Saccharomyces cerevisiae S288C: one gene and its partner. The protein of the gene in region 1 purifies or fractionates together with the protein of each later gene. This does not show direct contact. Each region holds a gene or a part of one and is shown in the gene's direction. Other genes may lie near its edges.

Region 1 (5,898 bases):
GAAGCTACATTCAGGCAGTCCAAAACGTCGGCAATAGGATGGCATGTGGCGACAAGACAGAGAGATCAAGATCACACCTAGTTTTTCAATTACACGTAGAACAAAGGAATAGAAAAGATGATATATTAAAAAATAGTTCTTTATATCTGGTTGATTTACACGGGGCAGAGAAGTTCGATAAAAGAACTGAAAGTACGCTATCACAAGATGCGTTAAAAAAATTAAACCAATCTATTGAGGCGTTGAAAAACACTGTGCGGTCCTTGTCAATGAAAGAGCGTGATTCAGCCTACAGCGCAAAAGGATCACATAGTTCTGCTTACCGTGAATCGCAATTAACTGAAGTGTTAAAAGATTCCCTTGGGGGAAATAGGAAAACAAAGGTGATATTGACATGTTTCTTAAGTAATGTTCCAACTACCCTATCAACACTAGAATTTGGTGACAGTATTAGACAGATCAATAACAAGGTTACAGATAACACCACAGGTTTAAATCTGAAAAAAAAAATGGATCTATTTATTCAGGACATGAAAATTAAGGATGATAATTATGTTGCCCAAATTAATATACTAAAGGCTGAAATAGACTCTTTAAAAAGCCTTCACAATAAATCTCTTCCCGAAGACGACGAGAAAAAAATGTTAGAAAATACAAAGAAAGAAAATATCAAACTAAAGCTTCAATTAGACAGTATTACCCAATTATTGAGTAGTTCTACCAATGAAGATCCTAACAATCGTATTGACGAAGAAGTTTCTGAAATATTAACGAAAAGATGCGAACAGATTGCTCAGCTTGAGTTATCTTTTGATCGACAGATGAATTCCAATTCTAAGTTGCAGCAAGAGTTAGAATACAAAAAGTCAAAAGAGGAAGCCTTAGAGTCTATGAACGTTAGGCTACTAGAACAAATTCAGCTTCAGGAAAGAGAGATTCAAGAGCTTTTAACTACTAACGCCATCTTAAAGGGTGAACTAGAAACTCACACTAAACTTACTGAAACACGCAGTGAAAGGATAAAATCTTTGGAAAGTTCTGTCAAAGAGCTTTCTCTTAATAAATCTGCAATCCCATCTCCTAGAAGAGGGTCTATGAGCTCGTCATCAGGAAATACTATGTTGCATATCGAGGAGGGTTCTGAAATATCAAATAGCCCTTGGTCAGCCAATACTTCCTCAAAACCTTTAGTATGGGGCGCGAGAAAGGTTTCTTCTAGCAGTATAGCAACCACTGGATCACAGGAGTCTTTTGTGGCAAGACCGTTCAAGAAGGGATTAAACCTCCATTCGATAAAAGTCACTTCGAGTACTCCAAAAAGTCCCTCTTCTGGAAGCTGACTATAATTAAGTTCGATAATTGTACGATACAACTGTGTAGTATCTTTGTAATTATAATCATGATGATAACGCTAATAATTTGTACGTATAATGCTGACTGAAAGATGTACTTTTCTTCTACCGTTTTTCTTCGGCGGCTATTCGTTTACAATGATTTGGAAAAATGAGAAAAATTGAAAATAAAAAATTCTGCTCGATGAGATGAGATGAGGTTATGATATATATGTAAGAATTCCTCAAGAAGAGGTTGCAAGAGTCTGCAGACATTATCATGGCAGCAAATAGCAATAGTAGAGTTGCATCAAACCATACTTCTAAAAAACAAAAGGTTAGGAGGAATATACATCCATTCACGAATAACACTCGGATTAAAAGAGCTAGTAAAATCGTAAAGTTTAATGATTCAGGCGAGGGCGACCATGTTTCAGACCAACGTTCGAACAAGGAAAATGTCCTTACTTATAAATCTTTGAAAAGTCGGGCAAGCGATTTACTCAAAATGAGAGAAACACTTCCCGTTTACCAACACAAGCGAGAAATAATGTCATATATTGAAAGCAATCCCGTTACCGTCCTTATTGGTGAAACAGGTTCTGGTAAATCAACACAAATTCCGCAATTCGTATTAGAAAAATTATATGATACGAAGAAGCATGGGTCGATTGCTGTAACTCAACCCCGTCGTGTTGCGGCCATCAATTTGGCTACACGTGTTGCTCAAGAACATGGTTGCAAACTGGGTGAACAAGTAGGTTATTCTGTCAGATTTGACAATACGACTACTACAAGAACAAGACTTAAGTATCTGACTGACGGTATGTTACTTAGAGAACTTATGATGAATAGTGACCTTAGAGAATACAGCGTCATCGTTATCGATGAAGCGCATGAAAGAACTGTGCTTACAGATTTGATATTGGGGTTCTTAAAATCCTTGATACAAGGGCCAAGACCTGATTTGAGAATAATTGTTATGTCTGCAACATTGCAAGCCGAAAAATTTAGTGAGTTCTTCAATAATGCCCCAATCTTATTTGTAGAAGGAAGAAAATTTGATGTCAAACAATACTACTTGAAGGCGCCAACAGATGATATAGTAGACGCTGTCATCAGGTGTTGTATACAAATAAACCAAGGTGAAGAACTGGGAGATATCTTATGTTTTTTACCGGGCCAAGAAGAGATTGACAAAGCAGTGACTATAATGGAGAAAATTGCAAAGTATGTTTCAGATGAGGCCCCAGTACCATTAATAGTTCCTTATCCTTTATATGCAGCTCTTCCCGCGGTCCAACAGTCCTTGGTCTTCGCTCCGATAAAGGGTTTCAAGAGAAAAGTCGTCTTTAGTACCAATATTGCAGAAACATCTGTTACCATATCCGGTGTTAAATTTGTCGTTGATTCTGGTCTTCGAAAAGTCAAAGTTTGGAGACATCAGCTGGGATTAGCCACTCTACTTACCGTACCCATTTCTCAGGCAAGTGCGATGCAGAGAAGTGGTCGTGCTGGTAGAGAAAGTGAAGGAAAGAGTTTCAGGCTTTATTGTGAGTCTGATTATGTGAAATTACCTAAACAAAGTGAACCTGAAATAGCCAGAAGTGACGTCACATCTCCTGTGTTAATGTTGAAGAGATATGGTGTTGATGACCTGCTAAACTGGACCTGGTTTGAGAACCCTGGAAAGGAAGCTATAGTAATGGGGCTTCAGGAACTTTATGAATTGGGTGCTCTTGACACTCGTGGAAAGATAACTAAACGGGGTCAACAAATGGCTCTGTTACCGCTACAACCGCATTTAAGTAGTGTCTTAATTAAAGCCAGTGAAGTCGGATGTTTGAGTCAGGTCATTGATATCGTCTCTTGCCTTAGTGTGGAAAATTTACTGTTGAATCCGTCACCAGAAGAAAGAGATGAGGTGAACGAGCGTCGTTTGTCCTTATGCAACGCTGGTAAAAGGTATGGTGACCTTATCATGCTGAAAGAGCTTTTTGATATCTATTTCTACGAACTAGGGAAAAGTCAAGATGCAAGCTCTGAAAGAAATGATTGGTGTAAAGGATTGTGTATTTCGATACGTGGGTTTAAAAATGTAATTCGTGTCAGAGACCAGTTAAGAGTTTATTGTAAGCGTTTGTTTTCTTCAATCAGTGAAGAGGATGAAGAATCCAAAAAGATTGGTGAAGATGGCGAGCTAATTTCGAAAATTTTAAAGTGTTTCTTAACTGGGTTTATCAAGAATACAGCTATAGGGATGCCAGACAGGTCTTATAGAACTGTTTCCACTGGAGAGCCGATAAGCATTCATCCATCATCTATGCTATTTATGAATAAAAGCTGCCCCGGTATAATGTACACGGAGTATGTCTTTACTACGAAGGGATATGCCAGAAATGTTAGTAGGATTGAACTTTCATGGTTACAAGAAGTTGTCACTAATGCAGCCGCTGTAGCAAAGCAAAAAGTTTCTGATTCAAAATAAGTCACCTACTCTTAGCGCATTTTTATTGTATATAAAGGCATTTAATGTAATTTATAGAGCATTATAAATCGTAACAACTACTGCAGTATGAGTTTCATGGATTCATTTCTCAATATCTTATGAATATACACAGGTATATATGTATATTCATGTTAAACGCCTTTCGAATTGTTCGTTGGCTTTTTTTGTGAAATTATCTCGGGAAAAGGGCGAAATTATATTATTTTGCCGTTGACATTTTGAAAAGGAATAAAAGATCATGAAAAAAATAAGAAAGGCAATTCGACGCATTTCTCTCAGCAAGCTATTCTTTACTTTTGAAGAACAAAATATTTTAGCAAAAAGGTTAAGACAATATAGTCGGAAGCAGTTCTGCGGGATCTGAAGGAATTGCGGAATAATGAGATTTCACGATAGTATACTTATCTTCTTTTCTTTGGCATCGCTTTATCAACATGTTCATGGTGCAAGACAAGTCGTTCGTCCAAAGGAGAAAATGACTACTTCAGAAGAAGTTAAACCTTGGTTACGTACGGTTTATGGAAGTCAAAAAGAATTAGTCACTCCTACGGTCATTGCCGGTGTCACTTTTTCTGAAAAACCAGAAGAAACACCAAATCCATTGAAACCTTGGGTATCTTTAGAGCATGATGGTAGGCCAAAAACCATTAAACCAGAAATCAACAAAGGTCGAACCAAGAAGGGAAGACCTGATTACTCAACTTACTTCAAAACGGTAAGTTCCCACACATATTCTTATGAAGAATTGAAGGCTCACAATATGGGCCCTAATGAAGTTTTTGTAGAAGAAGAGTATATTGATGAAGATGACACCTACGTCTCCCTGAATCCTATTGTCAGATGTACTCCTAATCTTTACTTCAATAAAGGTCTAGCAAAGGATATCCGCAGTGAGCCATTTTGTACCCCTTATGAGAATTCTAGATGGAAGGTTGACAAGACTTACTTCGTTACTTGGTATACAAGATTTTTTACAGATGAGAATTCCGGTAAAGTTGCTGATAAGGTTCGTGTTCATTTGTCCTATGTTAAAGAAAACCCCGTAGAGAAGGGCAATTATAAAAGAGATATCCCTGCAACTTTTTTCTCTTCCGAATGGATTGATAATGACAACGGTCTAATGCCGGTTGAGGTCAGAGATGAATGGCTGCAGGACCAATTTGATCGTAGGATCGTTGTATCAGTTCAGCCAATATACATATCAGATGAAGATTTCGATCCACTACAATACGGTATTTTATTATACATCACTAAGGGTTCAAAAGTGTTTAAGCCTACTAAGGAGCAACTGGCTTTAGACGATGCAGGTATAACAAATGATCAGTGGTATTATGTTGCATTATCTATCCCTACTGTCGTGGTGGTATTTTTCGTCTTCATGTACTTTTTCTTATATGTCAACGGGAAAAACAGAGATTTCACAGATGTTACTAGAAAAGCTTTAAACAAGAAACGCCGTGTTTTGGGTAAGTTCTCGGAGATGAAGAAATTCAAAAACATGAAAAATCACAAGTACACCGAATTGCCATCTTATAAGAAAACCAGTAAACAAAATTAGATTCCCTTCGAAGTATGCATTCACCCTTCCTCGAGAGGGCTGTTTTTATCTTCCGTCACACTAATAGAAAACCACTCTATCCAGTTTTTTTTGTTACTTAACTTATCTTAACTCGATATTGTATAAATACTGAAGTCCATATACTTCTTTTTTTCTCCTTTGGATAGTAAATACGGTAAATTAAAATTAGTGTAAACTGAACAATATTAACATATATAAATCATCTGTACGACAATTTGATACCAAATAAATAGAGAATGCATCAGCATCCTCCAGGGTTCAAAAGAAAACGCTGGATCTTGCTTCTTTTCCTTTGATTTCTCCTTATATCCATTTCTGTCTTGCAGCAACTTCACATATTTTTTCCAGTGTAATGACCCTTGGATCAGGCTTAAAATGACGCTCAACCACATTATCATCTCCTTCCACATTCCTGCTAAGTAAGCTTTCTTCGTCGCCCTCGCTATTGTCCACATTATCTTCATCTTCATCATCATCTC
Region 2 (8,721 bases), on another chromosome or scaffold:
CTGTTCAGGCTGTGCTCGCAGACAATTCTTCTATCTATTTTGGAGGAAACTTTTCATATAATAATGGCTCCATGACGGGCTATAGTGCTCTCATTTGGGACTCCATATCAAATACCACCCAACTTTTACCTTTTGGAGGGTTTGGTGAAAACTCCAGTGTGAATTCCATAGTCAAGCTAAATAATGACAACATTTTATTTGCAGGCCAGTTTTATACACTGGATGATCCTTCTGCGCTTATCAGTAGTTCAAATAACGGTACGAACTCAACTTCCTCTTTAAACGCTACTACATTGGAGCTAGGCCAACGAATTCCACTGAGGTACGCTTCCTGGGATTCCCAGGGAAGTACAACGTTTGCATCTGATTCGTTAGTTTGTCCTAACACTAATGAGGATGCATGGCTTTATCCGGATACGTCTGGGTCTCTAGTTTGTAATTTACCATATGAAGTTTCACCAACAAAAATAAGGCTTTATAATTCCCAACGTTCCGATAGTGAAATCTCCGTGTTCCAAATTCTGACTGATCCATCCAGTAGCATAATGAATTTAACGTATCTGGACCCACTAAGTGGGGAGTTGAAGAATTGCGGTGAATTTTGCCCTTTGTATAGCCGAGCCACTTTATTATCAGCAAGCCAAAATGTATCTTCATCCATGGACATGATTACCTTCATCGATAACAACAAGACAGACGTAAAATGGACGTCAGATTTCCAAGACTTTGCGTTTGTGAATGAACTTCCCGTTTCATCGTTAAAATTTGTAGCATTAAATTCATACGGTGGTAGTGTTGGATTATCCGGTTTGGAGCTCTATCAGGACACATTCTCCACTTATGCTAATGATTCTCTCAACGAATATGGCTGCAGCGCGCTTACCAATGATTCGTCGTCATCTACATTGTCGAGCAATGATTGGTATAATGGTCTAACAGGTGAAAGTTATATAGCCGCGAAATATGTTCCAGATCAAAATGAGCCAATTCCACGCGTAAAGTTTTACCCAAACATTATCCACCCCGGTCACTACACTATCAACATGTATACACCAGGGTGTCTTCAGGATAATACGTGCTCCGCAAGAGGTATTGTAAACGTGACCATGTGGAATCAACAAAATAACACAATAATGAAGACGTACTTGATTTACCAGAATAATGATAATCTAAAATATGATCAAATCTACTCGGGATATCTAGATTTCTCACCGGAGATCGTTTTGGAGTATGTCTCAGGAATTTATACAACCAACACTGCAACAGTGGTCGTGGCAGATCAAGTTAATGTCATTACTGTTTCTTTAGATGCTTTTAACACACTTTCAGATTCTAGCAACGCTAAAAAAGAAACTTTATTGAATGGTATTCTCCAATACCAGAAATCAAACTTTACCAGCACGAGATTGAACGAAACAAAGGTAGGTAATACTACTTTGAATCTTTTCCCAGTAAAAAATTACCCTAAAAATTCTTCCCTTTATGCTGACATTTACGATAACAAATTAGTAATTGGTGGAGTAAGCAACCGTATTTCCATTGTCGACCTTAATGACGACTTTGAGGTTACATCAAGTAAAAACCAAACCATTCAAGGTGATGTACATGGTATAACGAAAACTAACCAAGGTTTACTAATATTTGGAGATATTCTTTCATCAAATAATCAATCAGCTGTTTTTTTGTTTAATGGATCATTTGAGAATGTCTTCAACCAATCGAGGACAGTGAATAGTGCCCTTAATATAAGTCTTGCAAATAACGACTTTATTGTTCTTGATAACGATTATGTGGTCAATGCATCTTCCAATGCGCTTATACGGAACTCCAGTTCCTTTAGTCTATCACTTTGGGCGGCTGGTAACAATGGCGATGGCGATGTTTTGTTTTCAGGTGCAGTATCTCATATGCAATATGGTAATTTGAATGGGTCTGTACGTTTTTTGAACGAAAATGAAATAGAGCCACTTAACCTAGAAGGGGGTATTGTACCTTACCTGGGAGCTTATTTAAATGAGTCTGCCACGGCATATGCATATGAGGTGGATTCTCTAAACAAAATTTATTTTTCTAATGAAGTTTATCCTTCCTGGAATTGGTCTAGCGGTATTACTCAAATGCTATACGCTGATAATCAAACTTTACTAGCTGTCAGTGCAGGATCTTCAACCACAGCAGAACTGTCGATTTTTGATTTGAGAAATTTGACCATGATTGCTAATGAAACACTAGGATCAAATGCTAGAATAAATGCTTTAGTTAACTTTGAAAAAAACTGTAGTATGCTTGTCGGCGGAGATTTCCAAATGACTGAGCCGAATTGCACCGGATTATGTCTATACAATTATGAAAGCAAAACTTGGTCTACCTTCCTCAATAACACGATTTTTGGTGAAATCACACAACTTTCCTTCACCAACTCATCAGAATTAATTATCTCAGGCCTTTTTGAAACAAAAGAATACCAATCTATACGTTTAGGATCCTTTAACTTAACCAATTCTACTATGATTCCATTATTGAGTGGTTCTGAAGGGAAACTGAATTCGTTTACTGTCACTGAAGACTCCATAGTGGCATGGAATGATACTTCATTATTTATCTATAGAAACCAAGAATGGAATATTACCTCGTTACCTGGCAATGCTAGCTCTATTAGCTCTGTTTCAGCTATATACACAGATATTGAATCCAACACTTTGAACAAGAGAGGAATCAACAATGTTAATAATGGCAGTATCCTCTTACTTAATGGTAATTTTAATATTTCGCAATACGGATACCTACAAAGTTTGTTGTTTGATTTCCAAAAATGGACCCCATATTTTATTTCAGAAACAACAAATACTTCCAATTACAATCCAATAATTTTTATTAATAGAGACGTTTCAACTGAATTCAACTCTCAGTCACCACTTGCCAATGTGAACATTACTGTGACAAGTCCTCAGTCAACATCATCCCAGCCTCCATCTTCATCGGCAAGCAGTGAATCTAAATCAAAATCGAAGAAGAAGAAAATAGGTCGTGGTTTTGTCGTTTTAATTGGTCTTGCACTAGCATTAGGGACAGTTTCTGTCCTTGGTATTGCAGGCGTCATTCTTGCCTACGTGTTTAAGGATCCAGAGGGTGATTATAAGCCCATTAAACCGCGAATTGATGAGAATGAAATGCTTGATACCGTCCCACCCGAAAAACTTATGAAGTTTGTCTAATCGGGGTTGTATTATATAATATATAACTACTTAAAATAATGAACACTTAATATAATAAACAAAAATAAAATAGGAAAATCCTAAGTTGATCAAAACTTAATAAAAATTACTACTTGCACTGGAATGTTAGTAGTAAATTCAACACGTATTGGAAGTCACTTGGAATGTTACCAATACTGCCTGAGAATGAGTGATTTTAACTTATAATACAAAAGTCCGGGTTACAGCCCTTTAAATTTTTTTCACGGCAATTTTTCTTTACTTGGTGAAGCCATGAAAAATGTCATCGGTTCGAAGAAATAGGCCTAATGATAAACAAAAAGGTAATTCAAGGTTTTTGAACTGCTTTGTTGTTTTTATTTGTATCTTTTTTTGGTACGTTAGTTAAGTTAATTTTTGGCTCCTTGTCCAGCTTTTCCTTCATCTGCTACCGTTATATTTTCAGATATTAATTTAGTAGCAGAGAGCAAGTACCGAAAGGAAAACAAAACAGAATGATTTACAAAATGGCACACGTACAGCTTTTGTTGTTGTATTTTTTTGTGTCAACAGTCAAAGCCTTCTATTTACCAGGTGTAGCGCCTACCACTTACAGGGAAAATGACAACATCCCATTGCTCGTTAATCATTTAACTCCATCAATGAATTATCAACACAAAGATGAGGACGGTAATAACGTTTCTGGCGATAAAGAAAATTTCTTGTACTCATACGACTACTATTACAATAGATTCCATTTTTGTCAGCCTGAAAAAGTCGAAAAGCAACCTGAATCCTTGGGATCCGTTATATTTGGTGATCGAATTTATAATTCACCATTCCAATTGAATATGTTACAAGAAAAAGAGTGTGAATCCCTGTGTAAGACCGTAATTCCGGGAGATGATGCTAAATTCATCAATAAATTGATAAAAAATGGCTTCTTCCAAAACTGGCTTATTGATGGATTACCGGCTGCAAGAGAGGTTTATGATGGCAGAACTAAGACTAGTTTTTATGGTGCTGGCTTCAACCTTGGTTTTGTACAGGTAACTCAAGGAACCGACATTGAGGCTACTCCAAAAGGGGCAGAAACCACCGATAAGGATGTGGAATTGGAAACACGTAATGATCGTAACATGGTGAAAACTTACGAATTGCCTTACTTTGCCAACCATTTCGATATTATGATTGAATATCACGATCGTGGTGAAGGTAACTATCGTGTAGTTGGTGTTATCGTCGAACCGGTTTCCATAAAACGTTCCAGTCCAGGTACATGTGAAACGACTGGCAGCCCATTGATGCTAGACGAAGGAAATGATAATGAAGTTTATTTTACTTATTCCGTTAAATTCAATGAATCAGCGACTTCTTGGGCCACCAGGTGGGACAAATATTTACACGTATATGATCCTTCTATTCAATGGTTTTCTTTGATAAATTTCTCCTTAGTTGTTGTCTTATTGTCATCTGTTGTTATCCATTCGCTATTGCGCGCACTGAAAAGTGATTTCGCACGTTACAACGAGTTAAATTTGGACGATGATTTTCAAGAAGATTCGGGTTGGAAATTGAATCATGGTGATGTTTTTCGTTCGCCAAGTCAATCGCTAACCCTTTCAATTTTGGTTGGTTCAGGAGTTCAATTATTTTTGATGGTAACTTGCAGTATCTTCTTCGCTGCATTGGGTTTCCTATCACCTAGTTCTAGAGGTTCCTTAGCCACTGTTATGTTTATCTTATATGCATTATTCGGGTTTGTCGGCTCTTATACATCTATGGGCATCTACAAATTTTTCAATGGGCCATACTGGAAGGCAAACTTGATATTGACTCCACTTCTAGTTCCTGGTGCTATTCTGCTAATAATTATTGCGTTGAACTTTTTCTTAATGTTTGTTCATTCTTCTGGTGTCATACCAGCAAGTACTCTGTTTTTTATGGTTTTTCTATGGTTTTTGTTCTCAATCCCATTATCATTTGCTGGTTCATTGATTGCCAGGAAAAGATGTCACTGGGATGAACATCCAACCAAGACAAACCAAATCGCAAGACAAATACCCTTCCAGCCTTGGTATTTAAAGACTATACCAGCTACTTTGATTGCTGGTATCTTTCCATTTGGCTCCATCGCCGTTGAGTTGTATTTCATATACACAAGTTTATGGTTTAATAAGATTTTTTACATGTTTGGTTTCCTCTTTTTCTCTTTCCTCCTATTAACTTTGACAAGTTCACTCGTCACTATTTTGATCACTTATCATTCCTTATGCCTGGAGAACTGGAAGTGGCAATGGAGAGGATTCATAATTGGAGGCGCCGGTTGTGCTTTGTATGTGTTTATTCATTCTATTTTATTCACCAAATTTAAGTTGGGTGGATTCACGACTATTGTCTTATACGTGGGATACTCCTCAGTCATTTCATTACTCTGCTGTTTGGTAACGGGGTCAATTGGCTTTATCAGCAGTATGCTCTTTGTTAGAAAAATCTACTCATCCATTAAAGTTGACTAGGCCAACGAAAAAGAGGTCCTATATGTTGGGTTAGGGCGTTTTTTATTTATTTCTCTACTGTTTATCTTTTTTAACAAAGAAAATGCTAGGCCCTATGGCCTTTGGACATGATACATAGTTTTTAGTAATATTTTTTTCAAAAAGATTAAAAGTACTATAGGATTCGAAGTTGTAATTTTTGGTGTATATACATTTATTTATTTGAATCTTTTTTCCATGATTCTGGAATGACATTCTGCGTTACAGTTTGGGAATAAATGCTCCTTTAAGGAAATAATATACAGCTTTAGTGTACAGGGTTAATCTATAGCCACATTAAAAGGACTTGATTATGACTTAAAATAAGTGACACTGACGCTTTAATATTCAGTCCGGGTGATGCTGTCATCTAGGACAAAACAATGGGAGTGGATAAGTAAGCAAGTAATAAGATAAAACAGTATTAGAAATTGGTAGTAGGCTGAAGCTTGTTGAAGCTGGTGGACAGAAAAACGCTTATATTGTGAAGATCCTTTTGGATGTCCAACTTTAAGAATTTTACTTTAAATTCCTTTGAAGATTATTACGGAAAGCCCTCTGAAACGCCAAAAATGGAGGAAGAGAAATTGGAAGTAACAAATGTGAATGCGTCCTCTTCAAAAAAAGTACATAAAAGCAAAAAGAGCACTTCAAAATATGACCAAAAGAATGTATTTAGAAACTCAATGACAGGAATTGCACAAATACTGCCAACAAAACCTGTGAAAATTATAGAGCAGAATATTGATTTTGCCAATCCGAAGAGCTTCGACCTCCTGCAATCTACACATACTATTTGCTTTAATAAAAGAATTAACACTACTAATACCAAGTTGAATGTGGAAACTCATACTTCTAGTGATATTGACAACGACATATTGCACGTTGGAGCCCCCACAGACTTGGGGGGAAACAGTAATGACGAAGCGGAAACAAGGCAACTAAGGAAGTTTCGATGGTCCAATAATAAAGAAAAAAGTCTTTGTGAAAAGTTAACAGTCATATATTGGGCCCTCTTGCTCCACACAACAAAGAGAGCAAGTAAAAGGAGACCTATATTATGTCATCAAATGATAGCTGAGTTTTTTAACAGAGTTTATAAGGAGAAATCAAGAGTACCTATAACTTCAAGATATATTAGAGATAACCTCGTCGCTTGGGTCACTCAAGGAAAGGAATTGCATGAAAAAGGTTGGGTAGGGGATGCCAAAACTGGCGATTTGCAAGAACAGTTCAATATAGCCACTGTCAAATTATATGAAAGCGCAGAAGACGGGCGTCTTTCCATTGGTAAAGACAAACCCTTTCGAGAGGAAAACACCGGCAGTGATAGTTTGGTTCGAGCGGAAGAGGACTCTACCGCTGTCACTAATGAAAATGGACATATTTCTTCAGAAAAAAACTTGAAAAAAGATCGTAGAGAGTCTATAAGGAACCAAATCCTGACTTTAGACCTAAATGACGAAGATTTTTTCCAAAATGTAATGAAAGTTTTATCAGCCATTGATGAACCAGAACTGAGACAATATGTAATCGTAATCTCAGAATTAGTTAGCATGGAAATGGATGATGGTAAAACGGTACGAGAAAAGCTCCGAGACGTTGAATTGAATATTAATAGGTTGCAGGTTGATATAAAAGAAATAAAGGAAATGCTTGTTACACTGATAAACAAATGACTGAAAAAAGCAACTCCTGGATCGTTCGAACATTCTCACTCCATTAATTGTATGTTAGCTCAGGAATTCAACTGGAAGAAAGTCCAGGCAAGTACCTGACTTATTTTCTAGAGGACCCCCCAGAGATAAGTCTGGTGATGTGGTCCTTTAATAATTTCATAGGGACAATTCATTTTGCGTTTTTAATTTTGCTCGGTGAACAAAGGATGGCAGAGCATGTTATCGTTTTCTTTTTTTTTTCCTGTTTTAGAGAAAAAGGTTATATATGTAATAATACTCTGATATATGTACACAAATAATAGGTTTAGGTAAGGAATTTATATAATCGTAAGGATATCATTGATAAGGGAAATTTTTTTTTTTTTTTTTCAAACAAATACTATGATAATTAAAATGAAGAAAAAACGTCAGTCATGAAAAATTAAGAGAGATGATGGAGCGTCTCACTTCAAACGCATTATTCTAGCATGGCCTTGTACCACGGTTTGTCGTCATGTTGTAAATCCTCTAAATCGTAATTATTACCTCTTCTGGATGAAGGAATCCAGCCTTCAGATTTCCAAGGTAAAACACCTTCTTCCCATAATTCTTGAATTTCTTCTAACGATAGGCCTTTAGTTTCTGGAACAAAGAAAAAGACATAAAAAAACATGGCAACCAAACAGCCCATGAAGACATAACCGTAGTAGAAGTTAATGGCAGATGTGATGAATGGGGTGAAAAATGCAATCAAGAACCCCCATACCCAATTGGAAGCAGAGGCCAACGCCATACATTTCGACTTGACTCTCAGTGGGAATGATTCTGCTGTGATGACCCAGGCAACTGGCGCCCAGGTTGTGGCATAACAGAAAATATAAAAACAGGTAAAGACAATCATACAGTTACCGGCACCTTTAGAAGATGGCTGGCTTTTACCGTGAGGATATAATCTAGTAACACCAACAGAGGCGTAGATGACCATACAAGCCATCATAGTGGCAGCGCCCAAAAGTAAACATTTACGATGTCCCAAGTTTTCGACAGTCCACAAACTAAAGAAAGTGGAGGCAAAGTTGACTACACCAATGACAATGGATGTTTCAAAGGAATCATCCAGGCCAACTGACTTGAAAATAACGGTACCGTAGTAGAAAAAATAATTGTTACCGGTTAATTGTTGGAACATTTGAACAAACACACCCATCAACAAACGTTGAAATACTTTGGTCTTGGTGGAAAATAATTCCCCCCAGGACGCATTGCCAGCCAGTTTTTCAGCTTCTATACCGGCCATGATCAGATCTAACTCTGCCTGGACGGCAGGATCCT

Evidence for each region.
Region 2: the proteins of PSG1 (region 1) and EMP70 purify together in Saccharomyces cerevisiae (affinity purification with mass spectrometry, with the first as the bait; 2 studies listed by BioGRID). This does not show direct contact.

What each region holds. Positions count from the first base shown.
Region 1 is NC_001143.9:287,234-293,131, forward strand, and holds PSG1 (Psg1p), read left to right. Parts: upstream 1-4,219; coding exon 4,220-5,398; downstream 5,399-5,898. Other genes in the region: SMY1 (Smy1p), read left to right, coding at 1-1,340; DHR2 (RNA helicase), read left to right, coding at 1,612-3,819; AAN1 (Aan1p), read right to left, coding at 5,723-5,898. UniProt on the Saccharomyces cerevisiae protein: With EXP1, the specific cargo receptor protein for the plasma membrane ATPase PMA1, is involved in the transport and/or maturation of PMA1.
Region 2 is NC_001144.5:291,083-299,803, reverse strand, and holds EMP70 (Emp70p), read left to right. Parts: upstream 1-3,709; coding exon 3,710-5,713; downstream 5,714-8,721. Other genes in the region: RAX2 (Rax2p), read left to right, coding at 1-3,215; SRL2 (Srl2p), read left to right, coding at 6,232-7,410; galactose permease GAL2, read right to left, coding at 7,868-8,721. UniProt on the Saccharomyces cerevisiae protein: With TMN2 and TMN3, plays a critical role in the late stages of a nutrient-controlled pathway notably regulating FLO11 gene expression. Acts downstream of RAS2 and TOR. Essential for cell adhesion and filamentous growth.